Linked DNA regions of Oryctolagus cuniculus. The protein of the gene in region 5 interacts with the protein of the main gene of each other region in a pairwise test. Links are inferred from orthologs where the notes say so. Each region holds a gene or a part of one and is shown on either strand. Other genes may lie near its edges.

Region 1 (4,950 bases), about 2.7 Mb from region 5:
TCAGAGCTCATCCTGACAACATTAGCTTGACACCACATTCAGAAACACAGGACTTGGAGAGGCTGTAGCAGGGTTCCTGCAGAAGTGATCTGGAACGCCATCCTCGTCCAAGACCCAGCTACCCGGGGCACTGCCCCAACTGCAGACGCCTCGGTCCGGGACCCAGGTTTAAGCAAACTAGCCAGCTGATTTTCCTGTACACAAAAGCTAGCTAAACCTGGCTCAGAAACAAGACCGGTGAGGAGGTCTGTTAGTTATTTCTGGGTAATAAATATGAATTATTTATAATAAATTACTCCAGATTTAGAGGCTTCACCTCATGGATCTGTAGTGAGGATGTAGACCAAGGCCGCAGTCACGTGGAAGGCTCCACCTCCACGACCATTCAAAAGGAGGGCGGGGGAGAGGGTAGGGGTGGGTAGGTTTCAAGACAGAAGCCACAGGGCTGACGCTGCGGCTCAATAAGCTAATCCTCCACCTGCGGCGCCGGCACACCAGGTTCTAGTCCCAGTCGGGGCGCCGGATGCTGTCCCAGTTGCTCCTCTTCCAGGCCAGCTCTCTGCTGTGGCTCGGGAGTGCAGTGGAGGGTGGCCCAGGTGCTTGGGCCCTGCACCCCATGGGAGACCAGGAGGAAGCACCTGGCTTCTGGCTTCGGATCAGCGCAGTGTGCTGGCCGCAGCATGCTGGCTGCAGTGGCCATTGGGGGTGAACCAACGGAAGAGGAAGACCTTTTTCTTTGTCTCTCCCTCTCTCACTGTCCACTCTGCCTGTCAAAAAAAAAAAAAAAAAAAAAAAAAAAAAAAAAAAAAAAGACAGAAGCTATAGGTGGGGCCAGTGTTGTGGCTCAGTGGCAGTCACCGCCTGAGATGCCAGCATCCCGTATCAGAGCTCCGCTTCTGATCCAGCTGCCTGTTAATGCGCCTGGGAAAGCAGCAGAAGATGGCCCTCAAGTACTTGGGTGGCTCCATTTGGGAGACTCAGATGGAGGTATAGGCTCCTGGCTTCAGCCTGACCCAACTCCAGCCACTGGGGAGTAAGTAAACCAGCAAATGGAAGATCTCTCCTTCCCCACCACATTCCCTCTCGCTCCCTCCCCCTATGCCTTTCAAATAAACAAGTATTTAAAAAGCCACAGGTGTTTTTTTAGTATAATCCTGGAAGTAATGCATCCTTACTTTTGCATTTCTGTGGGTCACCAGGAGCAACTCTGGGACCTCATGGGAAGGAAGCTACACAAGACTGTGGGTCGCAGGAGATGGGGATCATTGGGACTTGGAGGCCAGGTGACACAGGAGGCAAAACCCATAGCTTAGGTGTGACGCGGTTAGAAGCTGGAGTTTACAGTGTGTGGTGTGAACGAATGTGAGCCAATGTGTTTGCACAGTCAGCACCTTAAAGCAGAAATTCTATCTGCTAGAATGACCACTGCATCCCCAGGTGTTGTTTCCTGCCAATGCCTGGTTCTCTAACCTGCGGCTCCAAGCTCCCACTAACTGTGAGCACCTTCTGCAGCTGGGCATGGGGTGGGGTAGCAAGGGGACCTTGCTTCCCTGGCCTTCCTGAGCGGGCCAGGCAGGCTGCGTGGAGCACACCCGGGGCTCACGGCCACCTTTGCCCACACCTCTCCGGGGGAGGCCGCCGCTCTCCCCGCACACAACTCTGTAGACCACGGCCACCCCACCCGTGCTAGCTTCCTCCTGGCTTCTTTCCTTTGCTGCCCCTGTCGCCTCCACCATTCCTTTCCCGTCCCGCCGAGCCACACCTGTCCGCACAAGTGCCCGAGAAGAGACAAGGCAGAGCGGCGAGTCGCGGGGCGCGCGGGACCCGGCCGTGGGGGCTGAGCAGGGCCGCCCCCTGCAGGCCCCGCGCCGCGGCGTGCGTGCGCGGGAAGGCCCGCGGCCGAGCCCTCGCGCACCGCCCGGCCCGGCCGTCACTCAGCGGCCTGTGGGCGCGGCGGCGGCGGCGGCGGGGCGGGAGCTGGGCTCCGCCCGGGCCTCGGCGTCTCGCGCGCGCCAGCCCGCGCCTCCACCACAGCTCCCGGGGCCGCCCTGCTGGACGTGGCGTGCGCGCCGGCGAGCCCAGGGCCGCGCACAGGTGGGTGCTGAGGGCGGGGGTGGCCGGCGCGTGGGGCTGGGGTCGTGCGGTGTAGGGTGTCCGGTGTCCGGTGTCTGACGGAGCCGGCGGCCGGGTGCGCGGCGTCCCGGGGCGCCCTGAGAGGGAGGGCCCGAGGGCGCACAGGGGAGTCCGGGGCTTCCGGCGGGGTCACCCTCAGGGGCAGGGCCATGGGGACCCTCTGCGCCCCTAACTTTCCCGGGACGCCCTCACGTGGGGTCGCGGCGCCCAGCACCCCCAGCTGCTGTCCCCGTGCTCCCTCGAGGGGGCGCCTTGCAGGTTTTCTGTGTGGGTCGCCGCTGCCTTCCCGGGGGTCTCAGAGAAGCCGTGGGCGCTGCACCCTCTTTGCCCTTACCCCCTCCCCCAAGTGGCTTTTGGCTGCTTGTTGAATGGGAGTGACTTGGGCACACTTACTTTGCACTTGTGAGGTGAATTTAAAGAGTAAATACGTGGAAAGACATTAGGCGGGCAGCCACCTGGCGCGCAAGTGGGTGTTTCTGGGCAAATTCGTGGATGCGATCATTTCAAATTCCCGAGAATGGTGGCTCTTCACACACTTTACCAAAATGTGCTGGCGGCCCTGGCAATCCCGGTGAGCCTTAAAAACAGCCCTTTTGCAGGTGGTGGTGGTGGGGTGAGATAACTTGAATAAGATCTAAAAAAAACAGGGCGAGCTGTTTGGAAACAGTCATCCGCATTTTTAACGTGAGAGGTAAATCGTGCCCACCTCAATGTCGTGCCCACGCGGATTTCAGCGGTCTTCCAGGTCTTTGGGTTTGTTTAGGTCTGAGTCGTTAAAAGCAGGGTTGTGTTCTACAACAGTGACTGGGGAGAAAAGTGTGAGAGTCGGGTCAGATCCGCCCAGAAGCCCTGAAGAAACTGGTTTCGGGAATCAGCAGCGAGGGGGTGGGCTCCTGGCTGGTCACCCCTGCCTTTCAAGAGGGAAGTTCCGTTTTATTGGGTCCTGAGCAGCCGGAAGTTTCCTGCACTTGGTGTTATCAGACCAGGAGAGCCATTCGGGTGTGGATCAGTGCTGGCAACGTTTGTGCCCGGGGAAAAACCCCTGCTGAGTGGATTTCTCCATTCAGTTTCCTGTACCCTGGTTCTCCCTGGCTTTGTAGCCTTACGCTCGGTCATGCTACATGGTGCAGATTCATGCACACTGCATGGTTGGGGAAACTGAGTCCCAGGAAGCCCCACGTCCTCCAGCTCGGGAGAAGGAGGGTTGGGAGGCCAGGCAGGGGTCCCTGTGGGTTTCTGTGAGCACACCGTGGGCATCCCAAGCCTGGTGGGGTGAAGCTGCTTCACGCTGGTGTGAATGAACAGCTCACCCTCAGCTGGAAGTCGGCGCCTTCCCTGAGGGTGGGCTGGTTGACGGTCCTGCTGGAAACCCACGTGGGTGGCCGGAGGCAAAGCCAGGCCACATAAACATGGAAAGAGCTTGATGCCATCGCAGACGTGCCCTGAGTTCTGCACACGAGAGAGGGGCTGCACCGGCTGCCCTGTGGCTCCCAGCGCGTGTGGAAAACCAGCGGCTGGGGAGCGAGCAGGGCAGACAGTGCAGGCAGGTGGAAATCCTCCAGCACAGACAAGGAGCGCATGGCTGACAGCGCTGTCCATGCTGCCTCTCCTGGGTGCGGGTTTTCTTTCTTTCTTTTAAGATTGTTTATTTATTTGAGAGGCAGAGTTTCAGAGAGACATTAGAGAGAGAGGTCTTCCATCTGCTGGTTCATTCCCCAAATGGCCTCAGTGGCCAGAGTTGTGCCCATCTGAAGCCAGGAGCCAGGAGCTTCTTCCAGGTCTCCCACATGGGTGCAGGGGCCCAAGAACGTGGGCCATCTTCTACTGCTTTCCCAGGCCACCACAGAGAGCTGGATCGGAAGTGGAGCGGCCGGGATGCAAACCGGCTCCCATATGGGATGCCCGCACTGCAGGCGGAGGCTTGACCCCATGGGGTGTTTTCAAACCTGATCCCTTCTCCCCTAAAGCTCATCTGCTGTCCACAGGGGTGGGGCTTCGGCCCCTGAGCGACACCCGTCTTAGGCCCCTTTAGGTCATCGTTTCCCTTGCCGCAGGCCCGGATGGTGTCCTGACGGTTCGCCGAGATGAATTCAGAAACCAGGCCCCTGTGTTGGGCAGTCTAGCGGGGGGCAGACTTTCCTGCCAGATGGCCCGGCTCTGCACCTCCCAGCCGGTGACCTGGGCCCAGCTTCCTCCCTGAGAAGGGGTTGGTGATGGGTTCCCGGCAGATGAAGTGAGTCAGTGCATGCAGGGTGCCCGGTAGCTCTGCCATCAAGAGGACAGGGTGGGGTGTGTCAGGGGGAGGGGGGAGAGAGAATGTGAATCTTACACTTCCAGGCTTTTCGTTCTGAGGGTCTAGCCGTCCTTTTGATAGGGCTGCCCCCATTCAAAATGGTCAGAGCAGGAGCCTCACCCCTTGGGCTGCTGGCGCTCTGCCCTCTGCAGGTCGGTGGCTGGATATCAAGAGGTCTTCCCTCTGGGTTCTGAACCATGCACTGGACCGTGCACTCTCCAGCACTGGAATCCAGTGCCTTGGAGCCAGCCCAATCCTTCCTGGAGGAGGAGTATCCTCTCTCTCTCTCTCTGTCTCTCTCAGATATATTTATTATTTGAAAGACAGAGAAAGAGCTCGTCCATTCGCTGGTTCACTTCCCAGATAGCCACAGCAGCTGGGGCTGTGCCAGGCTGAAGCTGGGAGCCAGGATTTTCCTCCGGGTCTCCCACGTGGGTACAAGGGCTCAGCAGAGGACTTGGGCCATCCTCTGTTTTTTTCCCAGGCTCATCAGCAGGGAGCTGGATCAGAAGAGGAGCAGCCAT
Region 2 (4,185 bases), on a different chromosome or scaffold from region 5:
GAGTTGCTTGTGGTGTGTCACTCATTGTAAGTAGAAGTACAATATAAAGGAACTCTTTTTAAAACAGGTTTTAATGTGGAAACCGTTGAATATAAAAATCTGAAATTCACTATTTGGGATGTAGGTGGAAAACACAAGTTAAGACCATTGTGGAAACATTATTACCTTAATACCCAAGGTAAGAGTCAAAAATAACATCTTGACTTTACAAATTTTTAGGGTAACAGTCTTTAGTATACTGATTCAAGTGAAATTAGCTAAAATTTGATTGTAATTCCATTGAATTCTACTTTAAATTTCTTTCCTTTTATTTTATTTTTTTTAAAGATTTATTTGAGAGGCAGAGTTACAGACAGAGAGAGGGAGACACAGAGAGAGAGAGAGAAAGAGGGGTCTTCCATCCACTGGTTCACACCCCAAATGGCCACAATGGCCAGAGCTGTGCCGATCTGAAGGCAGGAAACAGGAGCTCCCTCCAGTCTCCCACAGTGGCCCAAGTGCTTGGGCCATCCTCTGCTGCTTTCTCAGGCTCCAACAGAGAGCTGGATTGGAAGTGGAGCAGCCAGGACTTCAACCGGCTTCCTTATGGGATGCTGGCACTTTAGGCAGACGCCTAACCTACTATGCCATGGCACCAGCCCCTCTAGTCTAAATTTCTAAAAATTGATTAAATATTTTTTATACAATTAAATATCAGTGACCAGGTCCTTATTTTAAGAAAATGATTATGGTAAGATGGGGATGTATACTTTTTTGGTTTATTCATGATAAACCATCATTAGAGAATAGAGGCCATACTTAGCTATATAGATGGTTAAGACTACTTGCCTTTTGTGCTATTATCAATTAATGTATATTTCAATATTCTTCATACAGATATAATCTCTGGGCAATGGTGGTAGTAATTTGAATTTGTGGTGTATGGTTTTGCTGCTCAGGTTGGTTCAACCTGCTGAGAAATCTACAGTGATTTGCTTTTGACCAAACTATATGAGTGTTATATCACATATCCTCCACTTTTGTTCATATTTGGGCCCTACTCTACACTTTAGCCTCTTGTATTAGTCTGTTTTCTGTTATTATACCAAAATACTTGTGGCTGGGTAATATATAAAGAAAAAAAGGTGTATTTAGCTCACAGTTTGCAGGCAAAAAGTCTATGTAGCACAATGTTGGCTCTGGGAAGAACCCCTCAGGTGCATCACATTATTGTAGAAGTGTTGGGAGTGTGTGTGAGACAGGAAGCCAGTAAGCAAGTGTGGTCTCATAACTGTGCTATTTCCTCCCAGTGGCATGCATTCAGTTTTCTTACAACATCCCCCTAATGCCCTACTTTTTAAACATCCTACCAGTATGTTAACATCAGGACACTGGGAACCGAGCTTCCAACACAGGAACCTTTGAGGGGAACCACCTAAACAAGGTCCTAAGCATAGCACCTCTTATACCCAACTCTGAGGCTTATGTTCATGCTACCTATTCCCTGTGTCATCCTACCTTCCACATAGATGGTAGACTGGGTAACTTTTTACATTGAGATTTTTGATATTAAGTTTACTATGAATCATAGTTAATAGAAAATGAAATCTTGAATATGAGGAATGCTTGAAAGTCTGGGGATATTTAGCTGAGAGAAAGAAAGAGAACTTTGAAGAAAGATTCTGATTTTTTATTTTTAAGATTATCTTTTGGTAAATGAAATAGTCTTCAGAAAACAAGTGCCATCAGTAGGTAGAAAATCTTAAGAGGCATAATTTTCACTAGTTAAGAGAAAAACATTAATATACATAGCAACTTATGTTTGATAGAGGAAGTGTTGTAAATCCATCATAGATAGGGAAAACCAAACCTGACAATTTATGTGAACTACTGTAATTTAAGGCAGTCAGTATGCGAAAATAGTGATGGCAGACAGACCCTAACTATAATATAATAATTAGAGCATTAAATAAACATTTTTTCATTCGTTGAAACTTGACAGATGACTAACTGAATATTTTTGTGGCTTTTGTTTTTTGGAAGCTGTTGTATTTGTTGTTGATAGCAGTCATAGAGACAGAATTAGTGAAGCACACAGTGAACTTGCAAAGTTGTTAACGGAAAAAGAACTCCGAGATGCTTTGCTACTGATTTTTGCTAATAAACAGGTAATGCAATTTTATTTCTGAATATTTATCATTCTAGTATTTAGTATTCCTTAGTAGTCATGCATTCCATATCATAAGGCAAGTAGAAAGATTTCAAAAGAGAATCAATTCAATAGAGTTACATCATTTCTACCGTGTATTTCAAGTACATTCCCTGTGGAAAGTGCTATGCTGGATAGTTTGGAATACAAAAAATCAAAATAGTTGATACCAGACATTCCTATGTATGTATGTTAACACATATGTGAGATTCTAATACAAAGAAAACTGGTAAATAACTTCAATAATACTTTAAAAGTATTATGGAGAATTGGGAAAGAGATTCTAAAGATGGTATCTTGAAAGATTTTTAAAAAGTAGAATTTGGGTTGAAATTATGATGAGTTGATATTATGGATAAGAATTTAAGTATTTGAAGGAAAGAACGTTACAGGCAGAGAAAATAGTAATCTGAGTGATTTTTAGGAGCAGCAAGCAGACCTGTATGAGAGATGCAAGAAGAAGATCAAGAAGAAAATCTAGAATAACAGAGGCGATCACATCGTGAAGGCCTACCTGGCTGGACTGAGATTTAGCAAAGGAGAATCATCAAAATGTTTCTGACTAGTGGGTTGTAGATATAACCAGATTTTAAGATTGTGGTTCGGGAGTTAGAATGTAGAATGAAATCAGGGCAAGCGAGTAAGGACAGGGAGATGCAGTAAACTGCTGATATAATTCAACTGAGAGTTAACAAGGGTATGAAGTAGGGGAACAGAAAAGTAGAAGCCAATGGAAGACATATTTTTTTGGCAAAATTTGTAGAATTTGTTGGTTGAATGGGGAAGATGACAGACTGAGAGTAGCTGAAGATTCCTCGATCCTGAACCTAAGCTTTCAGAATGCTTTTAAGCAATGAAGAGAAGAGAGGTGGAGTAGAGTCGATGTCATAGGGGGGGAACACTATGATGAATAAGGAATTTTCCTCCCTCCATAATAAAAACAGCTAAGCTATTAAGAATTGAGATATTTACTTATGACTAAAGACATTTGAGTAAGACATACTCATACTCATACCATTCTCCACCTCTCAGATGTTAATGATGAAAATGTTCTTGTGTTTATTTGCATGAGCTGCAAATTTTCTGGAAAAATACATAGTTACTGGTGATGCTGCCCAGAAGTCAGTGTAGGAGATGTTTGGAGTGAGAATGCTGTAACTCTTCATTATATACTCTCTCTTTATAGCATATTTTGTGGTATACTTGTGTTACTTAGGTCATATCTTTCATTTAGGTTTCATGGCTTTTATTGTTTCATGGTAAGGCTGCTGTTACAAAATACTCATTGTAAACAAAGCTCTCATTTTTTCTGTTCATATTAATCTTAGAGTAATTATTGAAAGATGGGTCTAGGTTTTAACTTTGGTTTGGGCTTCTGTTAGTATGCTTCAGCAAATTTTTATGTAAATAGTATTAAGTAGAAAAATGGTAATTTGGATAAACTGATAAAAAATTATGTGTGGATATCTTTCAGGATGTTGCTGGAGCACTGTCAGTAGAAGAAATCACTGAACTGCTCAGTCTCCATAAACTGTGCTGTGGCCGTAGCTGGTATATTCAGGGCTGTGATGCTCGAAGTGGTATGGGGCTGTACGAAGGGTTAGACTGGCTCTCACGGCAACTTGTGGCCGCCGGAGTACTGGATGTTGCTTGATTTAAAATGTAGCAGTTCTCTAAAGTTTTATGTTTTAAGAGTTATTTTTCACATAATATAAGAAATCCTACACCTCAAAGATGATTAGGAAAAGGAATCTTAAACTGGGAATTAAGTACACTATTGCTTAAAAAAAAAGTTATTTTGTAGCAAATCTAAATATCTGAGCAGTTTGTGTTAAATAGAGATTTCTTGAGTACACATTTAAAAAGTACAAGTTATTTAAATTTTTCAGAGTGGTGACTCACATATTGGGAAAGAAGTAGTCACAGAGAAAGGATAAGTGAAGGTTTATTCTTTCAGTGAAAAAGGAATAGCTGTCTAGTAGAACCTCTGTGTGAAG
Region 3 (3,116 bases), on a different chromosome or scaffold from region 5:
GTTAGAATCACTCTAACTTATGACAGCCTTTACAGTTTACTCGTCATCATTTGGAACTCTGTAATACTGACATTTCTCTCTCATGAATACAGTCTCAACTAATTATTCTACAACTCACTAAAGTTCAATCTCTCACTTTGTCTCTGCTAACCCCAAATATTTTTCCCTTTAAGTGGAAAACAAAAGTTAATTTTCAAATTCTGAAAATTCAATGATTATTACAGAGTAGGATGTGGTATGAACAGGATATGTAAGGTGAGAGGGTTACATAAAAACAAAAACAAAAAAACTAAACCTAAAATTGCAACATATACAGAAACTTATTTCCAAAATGAAAGAGGAAAGGAGGAAAGGAAAGGTAATGGCACTAACCAGTCATAAAGCCCAAGCTGGAACAAGAAAAATCACTTTGGTTCCTCCTCAAGCCAAATCTGAAGAGGAGAAAGGCAGAAAGGAAGACAAAACCGTCAGGGTGTACAGTCGCCGGGATTCTTTTTTGTCTCAGTGATTTAGTTATAAATATAGATTAGTCTTCTTTCTATACATGTAACAAACTCCAAACTCACCACCATGAGATTTCTCAAAGTGACCCTTTCACATTTGTTAAAAAGGTAAAAATCACATACTTTTCTTCCCTTCTTTCAGTTCAAGTTCTGAACTGAAATATTCCATGAAACCATTGCTGGTCCTAACTTCTATACAAAGTTAAACTATGCTGAGCTCCTTTGCCAATGAGGAGCTGCACAATTTCTATCATACTTGCCTTGAATTCAGGCACGACAAAAAGTTCTCAAAGCAACTCAAAAGGAGCAAGTCGAGGAAAAGGAGAGCTCTGAAGGAGAGAGAAGACCAGCAGGTGAAACAAATATGCTGAAAAACTCGAATCTGCCCTTCAAGTATTGAAAACACCCCAAAGGGGACAAGAATGGGATCTATTCCAACAAAGTTAGCAAAATAAAATGCAAATCTCAAGCATAAGGAACAGCCCTGACGGCTGTCTGCTGAAAGATGTAAGGCGAGTGACTCAGTCCACAATTCCTTTGGACCCTAAAGAAGGGGTTCATCTGAAAGTCATGATTCTCTTTTTGCAATTTTGTCTTAGTTGTCTTCAAGAAATAGTAGCTTTGTTTTTCCTCCATTATTCAGACCATTTCTTTAAACCCCGAAAAGAGCAGTAACTTTCATATATTAAAAGACTTCTTTTAGGAAATGGACAAAGGAACATGAGGCCACGGCACTGATGTTAGCGGTTACTCTTCATTGCTTCTTTAGCTGCCATGATGAGTGGTGTCAAGCTGGATAATGGTTTGGCCAGTTTCAGGAAGGGATGCTGCCAGAAAAGGGGAGAAACAAACAGGTAAATGCTATCAGCTTAGAAACAAAATGTTTCCTTTCAACTAATCCCCAAAGACTACTTATGAATCATGGTTTATTTGTTAAAGTATCCCCACAAGTCAATATCCATATGAAACCAACATAATCAGTACAACACCTAAAGCTGAAAGCAACCACTTTACTTTTCCTAATATAAATCTATAGTTAAGGCCACAGACATATCCAGGCCAGCAGTGAACAGGCCTGAAAACTGACAGTATGCAAAAACTCATTATGATGTTACAGATTTTTATTCCCAGAAGGAGCCCTAAAATGCAGTTACCACACCAAGGTGATCAATACATAGTGAAATACAATGATTTGCCACCCTATGAAAACCTTCTCTAGATTACTCAAAACACAAAGGCAACTAAATTTTCCAAAAATGACATCATTTCCAAATTACCTGCAGCAGTTCTTTGGCTGAACCTCTCTTCTCCACATCCATTTCCAAACATCGATTTAAGAAATCCCGAAATATGGGGGAAAGCTTCTCTGGATTCTGAAGTTCTGGGGTTCCATTAGTTGCTATCAGGTACAAGGCCTAAAAATGGAAGAACATTTTTACACACTTATGATAGTGCAACAAACTGACAGATCACTTTACAAAGTTTGTGGATCTCTTAATTCTTTAAAAACAAACATCAACATCAAAGTGAGGTTATCATTTTTACTCATTTGGTTCTGAAATTTTTCCTTTTTCATTTTATGTACTTTTTAAAAAGATTTATTTACTTATTTGAAAGTCAGAATTACAGAGACAGGAGACATAGAGAGAGTGAGCAAGAGCTTCCAATTGTTTGTTCACTCCCCAAATGGCTGCAGCGGCAGGAACTGAGCCAGTCTGAAGCCAAGAGCCAGAAGCTTCTTCCAAGTATTCGGGCCATCTTCTGCTGCCTTCCCAGGTGTGTAAGCAGGGAGCAGGATCAGAAGTGGAGCAGCCAGGACTCGAACCAGTACCCATATGGGATGCCAGCACTGCAGGTGGCGGCTCCACCCACTACACCACAGCACTGGCCCCGCAAAATTATTTTAATGGTTAAATCAAACAGTATCTTATGTTCTCTATTATAATCAATAGCCTTTAGAAAATTCTTGTATTCTTTATGTACTTCTTTATTTCCTATAAATTTCTAGAAATGAAATTATTACTTTTTGATTAACTGTTATTTAAGAAGTTTTAGGTTTGTAGAAATTGGAATTGAAGCCTGATTATTTCTACATCCCTATAGATATCCTTTCTCACCAGGCAGTCATTCTTTGAACACCTGGTTTGTGTAGCTACCAAGGCCACTATATATACTATATACAGACACAAGAAGAACTTTAACTTATGTCATAGCACCAGCCCGAAGTTTAACAGAGTCTGGAACTTAATCCAGGTTTCCCAGGTAGGTGGCAGGAACCCAACTACTTGAACCGTCATCTGCTGCCTCCCAGGGTGCATATTAGATGGAAGCTAGATCCACAAGCAAAGCAGGGACTCAGCCCAAGCACTCTGATAAGAGATGTGGGTACCAAGCAGTATCTTCATTGCTGCATCCAATACCCTCCTGAGTCCTCATCTCAATGGCCGTAACTGCAGTTTCTGACAAGCTTACTTTCTTTATACAGGTTCCAGGGCATATATTTATTTGGCTTTTCCTCCCTTTCCAGCCATTCCTTCTTTCTTTCTTTGACAGGCAGAGTGGACAGTGAGAGAGAGAGACAGAAAGGTCTTCCTTTGCCGTTGGTTCACCCTC
Region 4 (4,773 bases), on a different chromosome or scaffold from region 5:
AGAAGAAACTCTTGGCTCCTGGCTTCGGATCAGCACAGCTCCAGTCATTGCGGCCACTTGAGGAGTGAACCAGCAGATGGAAGACCTCTCTCTCTCTCTCTCTCTCTCCCTCTGCTCTCTCTGTTTAACTCTTTCAAATAAGAATTTTTTAAAAATAAATCAAATAATGAGCACAGAGTATTTTACAAAGTCTGCCATGTAAGTGCTCAATAAATTATTTTTAAGATTTATTTATTTGAAAGTCAGAATTACGGGGGGGGGGGTGCGGGGGGGAATCTCCCATCCACTGGTTCATTCCCCAAATGGCAGCCAATGGCTGGAGCTGAGTGGCTCCAAAACCAGGTGCAAGGAGCTTCTTCTGGGTTTTGCACGTGGGTGCAGAGGACCCAAGGAGTTGGGCCACCTCCTACTACTTTCCCAGGCCATAGCAGAGAGCTGGATTGCAAGTGGAGCAGCCAGGACTCAAACCAGCACCTATATGGGATGCTGGCACTGCAGACGGTGGCTTTACCCACTATGCCACAGCATTAGCCTCTCATAAATTATTATTTTTTAAAGGTTTTATTTATTTGAAAGAGTTAAAGAGGTAGGGCGAGAGAGACAGAGGTCTTACATCCTGCTGGTTTACTCCCCAAATGACTACAACAGCCAGAGCTGAGTGGATCCAAAGCCAGGAGCCAGAATTTTCTTCCAGGTCTACCACACAGGTACAGGGGCTCAAGGAATTGGGCCACCTTCTGCTGCTTTCTCACACCATAGCAGAGAGCTGGATTGGAAGAGGAGCAGCCAGGACATGAAACAGTGCCCATCTGGGATGCCTGCACTGCAGGCTAGGGCTTTAACCTGCTGCACTACAGCACAGGCACCCTCAATAAATTATCAATATTATTATTACCAACAAAAATAAATAACTCCTACTCAACATCTCTCTCTACCAAAAACAATTACATTAAAAAAAAAAAAAAAGCAAGCATAAGAAAGGATAAACCAAACCGATGAGGAGTTATTACAAAAACACCTACCAAACTTACATATATATGTTCTTGGGAAGTTTACCTTATAATGGGATCACTAAGCCATTGTTGAAATCAAAGTAGAAATGTCAGAAGATATATAGACTTAATGGACAAATTCTAGAACTGATTCCTATCAGCTAGTTCCTACTTGTACTGATGACTAGGATCCTGGCATTGTTTCAGAAAGAAAGCGAGATCAAAATAACCTATTTCCTTTTATGAAGAAAACAGAAATGAAAATATTATTTCAAAACAAGTTATCACCATCCAAAACAGAGGTGATCATCTCACTCTTTGCAGCATCACTGAACTATTATATGCAGTTCTTAACAATGAATGACCAGAGGACAAATTTACCAGTAAAAATACTCAACCAGAGGTGGGAAAAGGACAATGGTTATTACCTGCTAAAGACAATCAACATTGAAAATGAATACACAGAAAGGGTAATCTAAGAAAGAAGGCTTAAAACCCACAACAGGACTACTTACAAATTCAAACCTCTCTCCAGGCAAGGGACACTCAAAAAGCATATCTTTGCACTAGCAAAGATGCATCAGGTACTGGAGAATTAGCCCAACTTTGAAAGGCAAACTTTGAGGACCACGTGTGAGTTTCAGGAAATATGTCAACTTTAAACATAAACTCTCTATGGCATTCAAGGCTGTTCAAAATAGAAAGTCTTCAGAAAAGACTTAAGTCACTAAAATAATGTCAAACTCTAGAATTTATGATCTACTCATTTTATAGCTGATGAAATAAAGCAGTCAGAAAAAAATACTAAAAGTAAGCTGACTTCATCTTGCATTTTATGGTCTTCCTACTTCCTGCAGACACACTAAAATCACGATTCTTTAGTCTAATATATAAGGTACTTGGGGAAGATGTCTGATAGAGAAGCTAGGCTGCCACTTGGGAAGCCACATCATGTATCCAATGGCCTGGGTCCTAATCCTGACTTTAGTCTCCATTCCAGCTTCCTGTTAATTCATACTCTGGGGGCCGGCACTGTGACGCAGCGGGTTAAAGCCCAGGCCTGAAGTGCCAGCATCCCATATGGGCGCCAGTTCGAGTCCCAACTGTTCCTCTTCCAATCCAGCTCTTTGCTAGGGCCTGGAAAAGCAGTAGAAGATGGCCCAAGTCCTTGGGCCCCCGCACCCACGTGGGAGGCTCAGAGGAAGCTCCTGGCTTCAGATCGGCACAGCTCTGGCCATTGCAGCCATCTGGGGAGTGAACCAGCAGATAGAAGACCTCTCTGTCTCTACCTCTCTCTGTAACTCTTTCAAATAAATAAAATAAATCTTAAAGAAAAAAAAATTCATACTCTGGGAGGCAGCAGGTGATGGTTCAAGAAGATGGGTCCCTGCCATCCATGTTGGAGGTCCAGACTGAGTCCAGGGTTCTTAACTGCCAGCCTAGCCCTGGCTGCTGTAGGCATTTAGGGAGTGAAACAGAAAACAGAAAATCTTTCTTAGCCTGTCCCTGTCTCTCTGGTCTCTATGCCTTTCAAGTGTGAATAAAATTTGTTCCAATTTTAAAGAAATAATTAATATACATACTTTCGGATTCTATGTAGATAACCACTAATTGGCCATGTGTACATGTGTGTATAAAATATATGTGTTTTATAGAATAGCAGTGTCTTTGAAACAATCCAGGTTCCGTTTGGTGTCATCCTTCTTAAATGTTCTCACAAAAAAGATTGTTTCACTTACCACATCTCCTCCCAACTCAAGCACTGGCTAGATCTGAAAAGATATCTGCTAAGGATAGAATGGCAAACATTCATCAATCACTTTTGTATGAATCTCAAGTACTCCACAAAGTGCCTTACATGCAATGACTCATTTAATCCTCACAACCAGCCTATGAAATCAGTTATATTATTATTTTTTTACATAATAAAACTGATATCTCCTGTTAAGGAATTATTAAAACCAGCAGGCAAGATTTGACTTCTGTGCCCAAAGCGTTTTTAATTACTTCACGATAACTGAATAACTTTAGGTAACCCACAAATGTTTATAAGCACAAGTCTGCAACAGATACAATAAACTAGCAACAGCTCTACTAACTCTAGTTCTGGAGAAGCAGGGCTTCACATACGCAACAAGAAACGGTTTGTATAGTGTCGAGGTTGATTTGTTCTGAGAGGAGGAGTGTGGTAGGGCCAAGAGGTGTGGAGTCACCCACACATACCCCAGGAGTTGGATGAAAGCAGGCCAGAGGCCAGCAGCCCACAGACTCATTTATTACAGTTGGTACAGCAGCTTAAATAGCCAAAGCAGCCAATTCGGTCAAGGGGCGGTTTATGCCCTAACCAATCACAGCGTGTTGCCAGGCAGTATCCGAAGCCATCCAATCACAGCCTGTTGCCAGGCAGGCTCCGTTGCCATGTGATTTCCAAGGCCATCCAATCACAGCCTGTTGCCAGGCAGGTTCTGTTGCCAGGTGGGTTTCAAAGCTATTCCTAAGTAACTGACCCTCACTTGCCAGCAGCCATCTTGGCATGGCCTTCTCATTCCACCACAGTGTAGGGCTCAGGGTCAGGCAGCAAAAGGTAGAGAATTAATGGTACTGGTTGTCAAATCACTGTGCCCTGGTCACTGAAATTCAAGCAGCACACACAGGAAACTTCCAATAGCTGCAAGAATGTGAAGGGTTTTTAATCTCTAAAAACACTATTCTCACAAGCCACAAGACGGGTACATTCCCCCACAAAGTACTGCTTGCTCATTTCATTTGCTCTCTTTCTAACAAACTGTATGCCTCTGTCCACAAAACAGTGCTGATATATTTTTTAATTATCCTGTTTATTAATGTCATGCTCCATGTTCTTTCTTTTAAAAGCAGATACATGGGAAGCTCAATAGTTCTCCAAAACAAAACATTCCCTTATTTTTTTTTAACATTTTTAATTTGTGTTACAAATGACCCCACACTCAGGAACATTAAATCACTACTTCTCAGCTTAATAAAATGACCTGAGCTTTTCAGATACATGAAGAATAGTCCTGATCCTGGATACATATTAGAGCTATTTTGGGAGCTATACAACATGAAGAAGGTCTTCAAATAGTTCATCAAAAATGCATATTATGAAAAAAACTATGCATAGACTAAAAAATTTTTTATACCACCATAGACGATCTTTCAGTTCTTTCTATTTTTCTGTGAACTTTTTAAGGTGCCCTCCTAGGCCAATATCTGAACCAACTTCCTGAAATTCAGTTAAATGATCTGGGCTGGGTTCCCAAACTGTGTTTAGGAGTTTTTGTTTCTTTCTGTTTTGCTTCTAAGTTCTCCAGTGATCCTAAGATCCTGCTGATTCCAATGTTTAATAAAGTAGCATGGTCCAGTCTTCCTTTGTTTTTGTTCGTTTTGTTGTTATGTCCTCAGGAAATTTTATGTACACTGTGATTAAACCACAAATTTTCCTTCCAGTTTTATGACTCCTAGTGTTGCTGAAAAGTGAGGACCCTAAAAAATATAGACCCAAAAGTGAACATTTTACTTCTAAAAGCATAAATAGCGCCCCCAATAAGAGGAACTCAAGCCCTCCTTGGAAGAATCTTTATTGTAGAGAAAAGAGAAAGGTAACTTACAAATATTAGAAATCTTAGAAATATTCAAGTTTTCTACAGTACAGCAAGACATACTTTATGGCTTTATTCCACATATAAGACTTAAGAACTAGTACTGACTATGTTTCTTAATCCTACAAATGAGTGGGGAAATGAGGATTCCACTACAGATT
Region 5 (4,185 bases):
CACCGTCCGCACCCCAGAGGCAGTTCTCTGTGAGTTGGGGGGGGGTTTCCCAGCGGGGGTATCCACAGGTGGCAGCCTCCAGGGGGTGACGCTGGTGATGGGAGCCCCGAAGACTGCAGTTATGTGGTTCTGTAGTTGTGTCTACTGTGGTTGAGATGACCATGGAAGGCAGAGATCCCAGAGGTGGGTCCCTCTCACATAGGCAAGTGTGGGGTGGAGAGAGTGCGCGTTGGGATAGAGGACTCTGTTGATATCTAGGACAGCCTGCCCTCAACCCGTGCCAGCTGTGGAGGCAGTGCGGCCAGGGGGAGGGGCTGCGAAACCAGACCCCTGGCTCCGGGTCAGAATCCTGACCCTCCTGTTTCCCCACCCCTCTTCTTAATCTGCGTTTCAAAGAGGAGGGATTATTCTCACTAAATATGGGCAGCGAAGGAGGAGCAGGTCAGCTTTGCGAATGTTTTCCCTGGCCCCGCGGCCCCACCAGCCTCTTTCCCGCCTCCCTTCTGTGAGGCCAGATGGGTCGCATGGAGAGGAGGGTGGGCTCTGAGCCGGGAGAGGGGGTGGGCGCCGCCCAGGCCAGGCCCAGGTGGACAGGCCCCAGTCCACCGCTGAAGGAAAAGGCCCAGGTCTCCGCTCTTCCGAAGCTGCTTACTGAGCTCCCATTCCCACGGAGATGAGGCTGCGGGCCGGCCCTAGCTCTTCGCCCCTTTTGTGAGAAACAGGAAGTTGGGATCTTTGTCAGCTGGCGGCCCCCTCTACATTAAATATTTATCTTGGAGTCCAGGTCAGAGCCCTGGAGAGTAAGAAGCTCGTGGCTGGGCAGAGGGCATGGCCAGGATTCCTGCAATTGGAAGATCTTCAGCCGCACCAACTTTGGAGAACAAGGAAGAAAATGAAAGTGAAATGGCCCTCCTTAGTCCCAAGGAGCCTAACAGGTGGGAACAGCTCCTGACCAGGGAAAGGGGCCCCTCCTTGGTGTCAGAGGCGGGGAGGAGGATGTGGCCGCAGGCCGACCCTGGGGAGCGAGCTGGCATGCCCATCTTCTTCAGCCTGCATGGCTGAGCTGTTTCCGCACAACCCAGAAGCTCTTGGACCTGGACCGGGGAAAACAGGGCACTAAGTAGCAGTGTTGGGGGTTGGGATGGACCCGGCTCCGTGTCTTGTGAACTGAGTGGTGTGCTGGGGAAACGGAAGCACGCGGTGACCTCCCACGCCAGCCCCTCCCCCAGCAGGTGTGCAGTAGGAGTTGTCATCTTTTCCTGACTCCTCCCAACATGGAGTTGAGGTTGATCAATAACTTTGCCTGATGGCTGCTGTGGCGCACCAGGGTCCCTGAGGCAAGCCGAGGGCTGGAGGTACTCTGGGGTCAGTGTCCACTCTCAGTGCCCAGTCCCAAGCACCCTCACTTTCTGGAAACTTCAAGAGAGCATGGCTCCAGGGAACGTAGAGCCAGTGGGCGGGGCAGCAGGAACAGCGGAAGACCAGGAACATCAAAATAAACAGGGTGTATGGGAACACCGAGACCCTCCTAACCCCGTCCCCGCCCAAGGGACCCCACCCTCATCCTCTCAGGGGCGCGGCACGCCCGGGGGGGGGGCGCTCCCTCGGGGTGATTTCCTCCCGGGGCTTGCACGTGTGTGAGCGTCCGCCGGCCGCCAGGTGCACGCGCGCGCGCGTGTGTCTGACCCAGGCGACGCGGCACCCACTCGTCCCGCGGGGGCGGGCGGCGGGGTGCTTCCTCGGGTCCTCCAGGCGCCTCCCCAGGGCCCCGGGGCGCACGGCTCGCTCGCGTTCGGCACTCGCGTCCTGTCCTGGCTCCGCCGGCGCAGAACCTCGTTTCCCACACTCTGGAAATGTCGCTGGAAACTCTGAGTGGCCCTCGCCGGCCCGCCCTCCCCCTTCCCGACGCCAGCCCAGCGGTGGGGACCGGGGAGGGCGGCTGGGAAACCAGAGCGGGCTCCCCGGGGACCCTCGGCGGCCCCTCCCGGCGCCGCCTCCCCGCCGGCCCGGCCCCTCGGGCAGGGGGCCACCGGCGTCCCGCGGCGCGGCTCGCCAGGACCGAGCGCGCTCGCAGCCCCGCGGGAGTGAGGGGAGTAGCTGTCGCACACGCAAACTCCACCCGCGCCGCGCCGCGCCGCGTCGCGCCACTCTCACGGTCCTGGTCCTGCCTCCCTCTTCCTCCTCGGGCGCCCAGTCTGGCCGAGCCCTCTCCTGACCCGGTCACGCGCGCCGCCGGGGCCCGCCAAGGCCGCGCCAGGCAGGAGCCGGGCGGGGATGCCCCTGCCCTCCTCCAGGGCGGCCTCGGCCCCCGCCACCTGCTCGCCAGGCAAGGTAGGTGTGGGGGGAAGCAGAGGGGGCGTGGGAGGAGGCGAGGCGGCGGCGGGGGCGGGACCCACGGCCCGTGGCGACGAAGGCACGGAGCCCCTCCTCCGGGGTTTGGTCCTGAACTCCGCACTACGCAGAGGTGTGAGGTCCCGGCTTCCCAATCCAGAAAAGGCGAACTTGGAGAAAACCCGCCTCGCCCACGTGGACTTGTGGCTGGAGAATACCTGGGACAGCGCACAGGGCCGAGCCCCCACCCCCCGCTCCCCCTCCCATCAGAACAGCCCTAGGGCGGGGGTGGGGGTGGGGCCGCTCAGAGATGCCCCGGTGAGAAGCTCTTCCTGCTGTCCTCCAGCAGAGAAAACTGGGACCCCCACAGCCCCTGCCCTGCGCGCTCCTGCGGGGTGCGTCACGGAGCGCAGAGCTGGGGAGGGACAGTTGCGGTAGCCCCTGAAAGTGGGGGCCGTGTGGGGAGGCTCCTGCGGGGGTCAGCCCTCCCCGAGCTGGCCGCTGGCTGGGGCTGGGGCTGGGGCAGGAAGGCGCGGGGCAGCTGACGTTGGGGACCTCGGGGCTGAGCCTGCAGCTTGGCCTCCAGGCGTGGCCCTTTGGGGAGGGGTCCCAGCCAGGGCCGCTGGCTCGGGGCAAGCCTCTTGCCCTGCCTCGATTTCCCCTTCGAGGAGTCAGGGCAGCAGGAATGGGGTGTGTCTGTGTGTTACTTTTGGTAGGAGTCCTAATTGGTTCCAGCTGGAGAGCAGCCCCTCCTCCAGCACAGCCGGGTCCTTCGTCTCCCCCCGCCCCAGTCAGGGATGGGCACAGAAGGGCTGCAGACCCCACAGCTGGCTCAGAGGCCCCCAGAAGCCGGGGGCTGCCCCCAGCCTGGGCGCTACCCCCGCCGGCCTCCCAGGCTGGAGCAGGAAGTCGGCTCAGGAGAGGAATCAGCCTCCTCTCAGCCCCCAGGCCCCGGCTGCACCGCTCATGTGACTGCCCACCACACAGGCACACCCGATTCAGCTGACAGCCCCTGTGCCCGCCCCAGCGCTGCCCACGCGGTCCCCTGGCAGCCTCCCCTCCCCCACAGAGTCATCCCCCTGCCCCACAGCATCTCCCAGGGAGCCTCCTCGGACGTCACACGCCCATCCAGGATCCAGGTCTGGTTGGGGCCAGCCCTGAAGCTGGCAGAGGCTGGCTCAATCCAGCAAGCACAGGGGAGAAGGGGCAGCTTCTGTGCCCCGGCCCTCAGCCGCTCTACCCCAAGACCCTCTAGCAACCTCCTCTGGGCCCCTGGAGCCCCCCTGGCCTCTGCCCGGGGCCAATCAGGGGTGCTGCAGCCAGAGACCACCAAGCAGCTTGGAGGTGCAGGAAAAAGTGTGGAGGGTGTGTGTTTGCACGCACACACCCAAGGGGGCTCGGCCCCACCCCTCCATGAGCCTGAGCAGGCCCAGCCTGGGCGGCTCTCTCACCCCACCCCTCCCTGGCACCGGAGTCCGCTGAGTCGTCCAGAGTGGATCACGAGGAGTGGTTCCTGCTGCCGGGAAATGCCCCCCACGCTCTGGACTTGGGGCACCACCAGCTGCTTCCCAGCGGCAGTGGGCGGTGGCCTTGCCCTTGGCAGGGCCTTCCCCCTCCCCCGCCTCGTCCCAGCTGGAGTGATCGCTTGTGCCCGTGGGCAAGCAGATGCTCCCACAGGGCCTGGAGGAGGCAGAGGGAACTGAAACAAAGTCCCCTCTCTGCCTGTGCGCCCCAGTTCCCCGTGCCTGGCCCGCAGGCCCGCAGGTCCGCAGGCTGGCCACCTTCCCTCTCCTCCTCCTCCTCCTCCTCCTCCTGGCCCAGGCCTCCCCTCCCCCCTTCCCACCGGGGCCTAAC
Region 6 (4,185 bases), on a different chromosome or scaffold from region 5:
TCACACATTTACATGGGGAAGCAGGACCTGTCTTTGAGCCCAGTCCCAGATCCCCTTCTTGTTACTTTGCCAGCCAAGAAGGCCACACCAAATCTCAGGTTTTTCATCTCTAAGTGAGGAGAGTGATTTATAAACTCCTTCCAAATCTAGACTTCCCTAATTTTCTAGAGTCCTGTTTAGCTTCATATTTTTTTCTGGAATTTATCAATATAAACTATTGGATTTGCACAGTATTGAAATATATGTCAGATCTTATGTCTTCAGAATTTGATTTGCATTGAAACAAAAATCATTTCCTATTTGAAAAATTTACCTGTATACAGTAAAAATCATTGTTTTGAAGTCATCTTTTGTTCTTATCTGGGGGACATTCCTTTCTTTCCTTAAAAACATTTTTGTTTTTTGCTTTATGAAGTCCATTTTTTTGAAGGAACACATATTCTGGATAAGATGGGTAATCATGATTGTAAACAATCATGCAAATGGAAATTTTCAAAAGTGAATGCACTTTTCAAAAAACCATATTAATCAACTCTATCAGATGCTACCTGGACACAGATAGGAGACAGAATGTCAGTGTGTGAGAAACTATATTCATACGGGGTTAGATGTGGCCAGGAGCAGAAAGTCAGGCAGATTTAGCTCAGATTCTACTGTTTAGAGACATTTTTGGGAAGGCTAGATTAAACTGTGTACGTATTTGAATTTACACATAAGACTCTCAACTTTGAGGAAAAAACAGAATTTCTGAATGCATAAAAATGCCACAGCAGGTATTTCCACACTTATTTTATTTAATAGCTTCCAATGAGTGAAGGAGATTTCATTATCAGCAAATGTGCCTAAAATAATTCTAAAGATCTTTTTAAGGAAGCAGATAATCTTGAAGGTTGAGGTGTTTCCTCAGGATGACAAGGAGCCTTGTAAAAATCAATCTGTGTAGAAGTGAATTATGTTTTATGGAAAAATCTGTAAAATGAAAAATGATCATTCTCATTGTCTAAATAAAAGTCAATAAAACTCATGGTAAGTTTTGAGAAAGTGAACTATACAAAGCATCATTTATATTTTTTGTGTTAGGGACATAAGGGCAACAGAAAGAGCTTAAGTTAGGATGGCACAGACAGGCACATACATACACTCACACAGGACTCTTCTCTGCCTCATTGTTATTCCTTTCTGAGATTAGCCAATAATCTCCTGTTGAAATAATGTAAGACTCCCAACCCCCAAATGCCTTCTAAGGAACACATCTATCATTATAAGAGTTTCTACTCCAATATTTAAATCCAAAAATGGTGTCACAATGAAGGATATGTTGTTGGGAAGAAAATGTCCATCCAAAGTAGAAAAACGACCAGTTAAAAATCACAATACATCAAAAAATATTTTCCAAGGATAACTTCCATTTACCCGATAGATTTTTCCATAAAAATTTATAAAACATGTTAAATAAAAAGCAGAACATTCAAGTAAGCTGATTTAATTTCTTCAGTTGTATAACCAAGGGGTTGGACTAGATACTAAATGTTTTAGGGCTAATATTCTGATTTGTCATCATAAGATATTAAAATGTGTCCCACTGGCTCATTCAAGTGGTTAGTGGCTTAAAACTAGGAAGCCTGACAATATAACTCTTCTAATTTACAGGTAGGAATGGCAAGTCCCAGGGAAGGAAAGAGATTACCCAAGGTTATCTTTTCATTCAGATATCAGTGTTATTTCTTGCAAATCATCCTGGTCATCAAGTATTTTGCTTTGTTTTAAGAGAGTCCTAGTTCCTACCCTTTGAAATTTTGCATTAGTAATTATGCAACAAGAGCAATAATTTCATTTTTAAAAGAAATCCTCAATATTCTGACTTGTAGGTAAAGGTAGGAGCCACAGATCATACAAAACTGCCTGGAATACAGTGATGGATGGTGTCTTGGCACCACTGCAGCAACATTTTCCTAACAGGTCCATCTTTTTATTACCCAGAATACCACCTTCCCAGTGTTTTCACCCCTCTGCTTTAAAAGCATATAATGACAGTGATTTCAATTGATTTCTAGATTACTTGTGGATTGATAGCCTTTACTTACCATCCAATCCAAAATCTTATCCTAGAAGATTATTTTAGCTTCACAATAGAAGGTCACCTTGTGGTAAAGTATGAATCTGGCCATCACCATGCTGCAGTCTTTAGCCTTTTAAGGCAGTTTGCTATTTTATAATTGTTTACTTTACCTTTGGGCATGGTATAGAATGAAGTGAGATTCTCTAAATGGTCAGAATAAAGAGAAGGCTCTTTGAATACATTTGGAATAAGAAATTCTTAACCTTTTCTGGCAGTAAAATAAAAATTACATAGAATTACTGATAATAATAAAACATAATTATTTTTGTATTATATAGACAGTGAAGAGCAAAGTTGCCTCTAAAATCTTCTGTGTAGAATTCCAAGCACCTCATCATTCTTATTTATATCAGTGAGAACATGGATCTTAGGTGTTCACTGTATTTAAATTGTAGAAAATGCCAAAATATACATTTCTGATTCTTATGCTACAATGGATGCCAAAGTTTAGTTTAAGGCTTTTTTTTTTGTAGCACACTATAAGAAGTATATTACAGTTCAGCGCTCAGTGAAATATTATTCCTGCTTTCCTTGTTAGTAAAAACAGTGAATTAGTCTTTTATCTCTTAATGTTAGGGAAAAGTTTAGAAAAAGGAAAAAATGAACAACTTACCTCTAGTCATGTATAACTCTAGATAAAGCAACAAAACTAAAAGCTTACCACAATTTTAACAAAAAGCAGAACTTCAACATAGTTTAATTTCTGTTTGCATCCCCTTTAAGGAATATTTGTCACTGAGATTGACAAAATAAATTATTTCGTCATGTCATTTATAAGGCAGTCTCATGAAACCAGCTCTGAGGATCAATACATTGTCAGAGCCAAACTAGACTACCAAATGATACATAAAAGCTTTTATGAATATTTATGCTATTTCAGAAGGTCGATCTGTTAGGTTTGTGACATACTTACTTGAAAGATTAAAAAAGGAGATCAATATTGTTAGTTCATCCTCACATGGATTAAGCAACTATGACTCGTATTTAGAAAACTACCAGTGTTAGACGTGTGTATAATGATTATTTTTCAATAAAGTTGACAGCCATAGAAGTGGTTAATTAATATATGTATACCTCAAATAACTTAAGTGGATACCTATTAAAAGGTCTACAAAATATAAACAGTACTGTATATTTTCAAAACTTTTAAATAAACACAAAGAATATATAGGCATACATGTTATAATTTCAAAGTGAACACTAGCACATACGGTTTTGTTATCTAAACACATACTAGGATACTTCCTATGACAACACATGCACCTACAAACAAATGGTCATGCACATAACCTTGCTTTCTGCCACTTGCAAGAAAGAATATACAATATCTGTACACATTGTTTCAACTGAAATCATATTGGGAAATTGATGAGGGTGACATTAAAAATTCTGGTCTAAGAAATCAAAACACAGGAAGATAACTGTTCCACAGATTAAAAACACTGAAGACTGATGGAAGGTTAAGATTTAAATTACTCCTCCCAGTGATCTTGAAAGATACAGTAGAAAACAGGACTGTCTGTAAACACTCATAATGCTGTTTGGCCACTGGGACTAGAGCTTTTGTAATCTAACAATCCAGGCCAGAGACTTAGACCATCTTTGCTTCAGATTGAAGAGAAATGGTGCAACTGTTGGCAGTTCTCCGTAAGGCTGGGGGTGCTGACGGTGATCTGGATGCCCATCTGGATGGGAGGCGGCGATTTGCTGGTCTAGCAGGTCGAGAAAACCCTTTTCCAGGGAAGGCCTTCACTGCCAGGGATTCCTGAGACACAAGGGAAGACATTCATCTCACTATACAGGCACTAATGGCAAACTATATATACTGTAGATCCCAACTAAGGGATCAATGTGGCCTACTTATAACCAAGAAAAGGCACTGAAAATTAAAGATGGTATCTGTCTAATATTTGTGGCTTGGAATGTTTAATCAAAGCAATTCAATTTTAATATAAATCATTACATGTGATAATCTTGTGGATCTCATTCACACTGACAAATTTCAATACAGTTGATGTCTTTGTAAAAATAGTTATGAGCTCAGGATTCAAAAGTTCAAGTTAAAT
Region 7 (4,630 bases), on a different chromosome or scaffold from region 5:
GGAGGGACGAGCGTGCCCGGGAGCCGGGGCCTCACCCGCTTGTCCTCTCCCTGCGTCAGAGTCGGAGCTGCAGATCGCGCTGATCGCCCTCTTCTCCGAGATGCTCTATCGCTTCCCCAACATGGTGGTGGCGCAGGTGACCCGGGAGAGCGTGCAGCAGGCCATTGCCAGCGGCATCACGGCCCAGCAGGTATCCCCGGCACTGGGTCTGGGACAACAGGCAGTGGTGCGGTGTGTGAGCAGAGCGCTGGGCACGCGAGGCGAAGTCCAGCCTGCAGGAGTGGGAACGGGCAGACCCCTCGGGGGAGAACACAGAGGGACTTGTGTCTCGGCACCACTGCCTGGCCGCGGGGGCTGGGCTTGCTCTCTCCTCCCTGATTCCTCTTCTGGTGAGTGACAGCTCTCACCTCCCTGGGCTGCTGGGAGCACTCAGCAGGAGAGCAGAGCTAAAGCATTAAGCTCAGAGCCTGCCTAGCAGTAAGTTGATCAAAAAGTAGTAGCTGTGGCTATTTTAAAGAAAAAAACAAGTTAATGGAAAGGGCAGACTGCAGACTTGACCAATAGAGAGGCTGTGGGCGGTGCAGTAAGGGTAACAACAGGTGAACAGGGGTGGGCGGAGCCGACAACAGGGAGGTGGCCCTGGGGCTTTCTAGAGAGAGCGGCTGTGCTCTGGCGACAGTAGGTTCAAGCCCTCTCGCCATTCTTGTCTGTTCTCAGATAATCCACTTCCTAAGGACAAGGGCCCACCCAGTGATGCTCAAACAGGTAAACACAGGCACCCTGGGCACTTGGCAGTGAGATGGCGGGAGAAGTCCCCCCAACCTGGGGACCAAGTGCAGGGCCAGTGTCCCTGAAACCCCTCAGCCAACTGTTGTCCCCGCAGACCCCCGTGCTGCCCCCCACCATCACGGACCAGATTCGCCTGTGGGAGCTGGAAAGGGACAGGCTGCGGTTCACGGAGGGTGAGTGGCGCTGGGCACCGGCATGAGGGACGGCAGGCAGTTCAGCCTTGACGGGCTGAAGAGTTCTCCACGCATGTCACCTTGTGTTTCCTGCACGGAAAGCTGGCAGGCCACTTGATTTTGGGGCAAGCGGGCACTAGTCAGTAGACGTCCCCAGTCAGGGCAGTCTGGATTTTGTGGGAGCTGGGCACACACTAGTGTCAGGCTGCCACGGGGGGGACCCCCGCCTCACGTGCTCGCCCTCCGCTCCTGCGCACCCCAGGCGTCCTGTACAACCAGTTCCTGTCGCAAGTGGACTTCGAGCTGCTGCTGGCCCACGCGCGGGAGCTGGGCGTGCTGGTTTTCGAGAACTCGGCCAAGCGGCTCATGGTGGTGACCCCGGCTGGGCACAGCGACGTCAAGCGCTTCTGGAAGCGGCAGAAGCACAGCTCCTGACCGGACGCGGGCGGGCGGCGGGCGGGGCGGCCCCACAACTCAGGTGTTTTTTTTTATTTATGCATCGGGACTTTTCTTGTTCAATAAAATCGTGAAAGTGAGCCCCTTGGTCCCGCGCGCCTCTCTGCAAGCCTTCGCCTGTTCCCGGCGGCGAACTCGCTCCTCTCGCGCCGGCAGCCATTGGACGCGGCGGCGGTGGGGGGCGGGGCCGAGGGAGTGGCCGTGCACGCGCAGTGCGTGAGGGGCGGGCGGTCTCTGCGCGCAGCGTGATCGCCGGCCTGCTTCCAGGGCCAGCTTCGCTGGTGCCCCGCGTCCCTGCCGCCGCCGCGGGGCGCCCTGGGATAGCGGCGGGGTCGCCGGTGAGCGCGCGCCGGGGCGGCCCGGGGGAGGTGGGAGGGGCTGCGGGGCCGGGGCTCACGGGGAGGGGTGGCCGGGCCGCGCGGGCCGGGGACGCTGCGGGCGGAGACCGCGGTGGGCCCCCTAGGGCGGCTTGTAGGCGCTGCTGGCCATCGTCTCCCCGAATCCCCGAGTCTTGCCCCTCCGCCATGTCGCAGAGAGGCGTGGGCGCGGGGAGAGAGACTCAGACCTTGCCCGACACGAGCCCGGGTCTCCGGGGGCCAGGCCGCTGGCCCTGTCTATACCACGCGCTCTCGTCCACCGGCGGGAGGCGTGGTGTTGGAAAATACTTAGGAAAACTGGTGCGAGCGCGAGGCTTGCAGTGAGGGCTGGGGGCGTGGCCCGGGGGCTGTGCCGCTCCCCGACTCCCGCACCCTCTTCACGTGCGCCGTCTCTCCGGAACAGATCTTGACCCCTCTCCAGACAACTCCCGATGCCTCATTTGCCTCTGGCCTCTCTGAGACCCTCGCTCTGGGGTCTGAGGCCCCCACGGGGCCTCCGCAGCCTCCATCCCCTTTCTACACAGTCAGAGCCCCATCATGGACCTCCCGTCTCCCGGAGGAACCGAGAGGCCAAACAGAAGCGCCTGCGGGAGAGGCAGGCGGCGCTGGAGGCCGGGACAGCCGGGAAGGGCCAGGTTAGGGGTGGAGCACCTTGACCCCAGGCCCCTGAGACGGGTGGGAGGGGGCTAGAGGAGGCTGGGCCGGGATTCCAAGCCCCTCCTGCTGCCTCCTTTCAGTCACCTGCAGAACCCAGGAAGGCCTGGAGCCCTAAGGAGGTGGTGCTGTATGAAGTCCCTACGGAGCCCGGGGAGAAGAAAGGTAACGGTGGCGTGCAGATTCGGCTCTCCCGCTGTCGCCAAGGTGCAGCCGGGAAGGAAGTTCAGGAGGTAGTGGAGCTCTCCTCTGCTTCCACAGATGTGTCGGGGCCCCTGCCTGCTGCCTACAGCCCTTGCTACGTCGAGGCTGCCTGGTACTCGTGGTGGGAGCGAGAGGGCTTCTTCAAACCAGAATATCAGGTGAATACCTGGGAGGGAGTGGTGCTCAGTGGTCCCTGAGCAGGACAGGAGCCTCTGAGTCCCGCTCGCCCCGTCCAGCTTGTCTGCTTCAAGCCTGTGGTGTCCTGCAGATTTCCCTTGGCAGGTTCCTCCTCCCTTCCCCGTCTTTCCTGTTAGCTGCAGGGCAGTTCCCTAAGATGCTGTCTGCCTTGAAGACGCCAGAGGGTGCTGTTCCCCCAGCGAACGGCCACCCTCTCTTGCCTTTGCCTCTGCCTCCTCCTAGGCCCAGATGCCCCAGACCACAGGGGAGACGTTTTCCATGTGTATCCCGCCCCCCAATGTCACTGGGTCCCTGCACATCGGCCACGCACTCACGGTGGCCATAGAGGATGCCCTCGTGCGCTGGTGAGAGGGGCGTTCCCGGAGGGGCTGTGGACCGTGGGCGGATGGGTGCCCAGGGCTCAGGCCAGGATGCTTCTGTTGCAGGCACCGCATGCGAGGGGATCGGGTGCTCTGGGTCCCTGGCTCCGATCACGCAGGAATTGCTACACAAGTAGGCCCTGTCCCCGCTCCCTTCTCGGGTGAAGACGGTCTCTTCCCCACAGAGGAGCCTCATTCTGTACCTGCTCCTGATCCTGCAGGCTGTGGTGGAGAAGCGGCTGTGGACGGAGCGGGGAGTGAGGAGACACGAGCTGGGCCGGGAGGACTTCCTCAAGGCCGTGTGGCAGTGGAAGGCGGCGTGAGTGCCAGGCAGGGCTGCAGGGGCTGGGATGCCAGGCTGCGGCCCTGCTTCCCGTCGCTTACTCTCTTACCTTAGAGTTCTCAGCTCGTCCCAGGGCGGCCCCACCCTCCCTGGGGACAGGCGCTGGAGCCCCTTAGCACGTGGTGGTGTCTGCAGGCCTCGTACGAGTGTGTGTGCACGCTGCGTGTCAGAATGTCTGCTCCTGTATGTGTGCGTACACGTGGACGCCTTTTCCTCTGCTCATCCCTTTCCCTCGCCTGGACTTCAGTGTCCTCACCTCCCCTGCTTGCGCATTCCCACCTGCCAGTCCCCGTGTGATCACCTCCGTGCCCCCACGCCGTGCTCGCCTGGCGCCTTCTCCACGCTGCTTTCTTGGACTTGCACGTTGGCTGCCGCCGCGCGGTGGATCCTGTGGGTGCTTATGCCTCTCTCGGTGTCACAGAAAGCCCCCTCCTGGGTCTGTCTCCATTAGCTTTATTTTTGACAGCGCCTGGCACTGCTGGGGGCATGGCCGGGCCCGGGGCCTGGGAAATGCTGACAGGGCTGTCTTCTGGGCACAGGAAAGGTGGCGAGATCTGTGAGCAGCTGCGTGCTCTGGGCGCCTCCCTGGACTGGGACCGAGAGTGCTTTACCATGGATGCCGTGAGTGTCCCACACGTGTCCCTGGGGGTTGTGGGTGTTTGGAGGTCTTCAGATGTGGGAGCTGGGGACGCCTGGGTCCCGGGATGGGCGATGGGCTGAGGAGGGCTTTTGAGGTGGACACTCAGGTCATTCCAGGGCTTCTCGGTGGCTGTGACCGAAGCTTTCGTGCGGCTCTACGAGGCAGGGTTGCTGTACCGAGGCCGTCAGCTCGTCAACTGGTCGTGCGCCTTACGATCAGCCATCTCTGATATTGAGGTGAGACGGGGAGAGGAGCAGGTGGTAAGAACTCTCAGGCCGGGTCATGGAGCGGTTAAGATTCCAGGGGCGGACTGCTTGGATTTGAACCTGAGTGCTGCCACCCACGGCCGAGTGGCTTTGGGCCGGCTGTTCAGTCTGTTTGAGCCTCAGCTTCCTCGGTCCGTAAGTTAGAGATGATGGCTCGCATGTGTCCGTTCC

What was found.
Region 1: the proteins of SORBS3 (region 5) and SH2D4A interact in binary tests that used the Homo sapiens proteins (3 or more experiments, as listed by UniProt). The two-hybrid records come from large-scale screens. The link is inferred for Oryctolagus cuniculus from reciprocal best matches to the Homo sapiens genes SORBS3 and SH2D4A.
Region 2: the proteins of SORBS3 (region 5) and TRIM23 interact in binary tests that used the Homo sapiens proteins (3 or more experiments, as listed by UniProt). The two-hybrid records come from large-scale screens. The link is inferred for Oryctolagus cuniculus from reciprocal best matches to the Homo sapiens genes SORBS3 and TRIM23.
Region 3: the proteins of SORBS3 (region 5) and PAK2 interact in binary tests that used the Homo sapiens proteins (3 or more experiments, as listed by UniProt). The two-hybrid records come from large-scale screens. The link is inferred for Oryctolagus cuniculus from reciprocal best matches to the Homo sapiens genes SORBS3 and PAK2.
Region 4: the proteins of SORBS3 (region 5) and EIF3H interact in binary tests that used the Homo sapiens proteins (3 or more experiments, as listed by UniProt). The two-hybrid records come from large-scale screens. The link is inferred for Oryctolagus cuniculus from reciprocal best matches to the Homo sapiens genes SORBS3 and EIF3H.
Region 6: the proteins of SORBS3 (region 5) and KIAA0408 interact in binary tests that used the Homo sapiens proteins (3 or more experiments, as listed by UniProt). The two-hybrid records come from large-scale screens. The link is inferred for Oryctolagus cuniculus from reciprocal best matches to the Homo sapiens genes SORBS3 and KIAA0408.
Region 7: the proteins of SORBS3 (region 5) and VARS2 interact in binary tests that used the Homo sapiens proteins (3 or more experiments, as listed by UniProt). The two-hybrid records come from large-scale screens. The link is inferred for Oryctolagus cuniculus from reciprocal best matches to the Homo sapiens genes SORBS3 and VARS2.

What each region holds. Positions count from the first base shown.
Region 1 is NC_091439.1:3,497,599-3,502,548, reverse strand, and holds the start of SH2D4A (SH2 domain-containing protein 4A), read left to right. Parts: upstream 1-1,937; 5' UTR 1,938-2,094; intron 2,095-4,950. UniProt on the Homo sapiens protein: Inhibits estrogen-induced cell proliferation by competing with PLCG for binding to ESR1, blocking the effect of estrogen on PLCG and repressing estrogen-induced proliferation. May play a role in T-cell development and function.
Region 2 is NC_091445.1:86,547,595-86,551,779, reverse strand, and holds part of TRIM23 (E3 ubiquitin-protein ligase TRIM23), read left to right. Parts: intron 1-67; coding exon 68-178; intron 179-2,022; coding exon 2,023-2,147; intron 2,148-3,662; coding exon 3,663-3,842; 3' UTR 3,843-4,185.
Region 3 is NC_091435.1:83,348,481-83,351,596, reverse strand, and holds part of PAK2 (serine/threonine-protein kinase PAK 2), read right to left. Parts: intron 1,919-3,116; coding exon 1,781-1,918; intron 1,331-1,780; coding exon 1,244-1,330; 3' UTR 1-1,243. UniProt on the Homo sapiens protein: Serine/threonine protein kinase that plays a role in a variety of different signaling pathways including cytoskeleton regulation, cell motility, cell cycle progression, apoptosis or proliferation.
Region 4 is NC_091437.1:142,350,597-142,355,369, forward strand, and holds the start of EIF3H (eukaryotic translation initiation factor 3 subunit H), read right to left. Parts: upstream 3,281-4,773; 5' UTR 3,266-3,280; coding exon 3,092-3,265; intron 1-3,091.
Region 5 is NC_091439.1:764,952-769,136, reverse strand, and holds part of SORBS3 (vinexin), read left to right. Parts: intron 1-490; exon of another isoform or gene 491-626; intron 627-784; 5' UTR 785-828; coding exon 829-935; intron 936-1,232; exon of another isoform or gene 1,233-1,365; intron 1,366-1,706; exon of another isoform or gene 1,707-2,331; intron 2,332-4,185. UniProt on the Homo sapiens protein: Vinexin alpha isoform promotes up-regulation of actin stress fiber formation. Vinexin beta isoform plays a role in cell spreading and enhances the activation of JNK/SAPK in response to EGF stimulation by using its third SH3 domain.
Region 6 is NC_091436.1:42,226,486-42,230,670, reverse strand, and holds the end of KIAA0408 (uncharacterized protein KIAA0408 homolog), read right to left. Parts: intron 3,885-4,185; coding exon 3,711-3,884; 3' UTR 775-3,710; downstream 1-774.
Region 7 is NC_091436.1:139,551,133-139,555,762, reverse strand, and holds the start of VARS2 (valine--tRNA ligase, mitochondrial), read left to right. Parts: upstream 1-1,630; 5' UTR 1,631-1,756; intron 1,757-2,198; 5' UTR 2,199-2,226; coding exon 2,227-2,430; intron 2,431-2,532; coding exon 2,533-2,614; intron 2,615-2,710; coding exon 2,711-2,811; intron 2,812-3,073; coding exon 3,074-3,195; intron 3,196-3,276; coding exon 3,277-3,343; intron 3,344-3,428; exon of another isoform or gene 3,429-3,431; coding exon 3,432-3,529; intron 3,530-4,019; exon of another isoform or gene 4,020-4,039; coding exon of another isoform or gene 4,040-4,092; coding exon 4,093-4,174; intron 4,175-4,309; coding exon 4,310-4,429; intron 4,430-4,630. Other genes in the region: GTF2H4 (general transcription factor IIH subunit 4), read left to right, coding at 60-190, 718-765, 884-962, 1,225-1,397. UniProt on the Homo sapiens protein: Catalyzes the attachment of valine to tRNA(Val) in a two-step reaction: valine is first activated by ATP to form Val-AMP and then transferred to the acceptor end of tRNA(Val).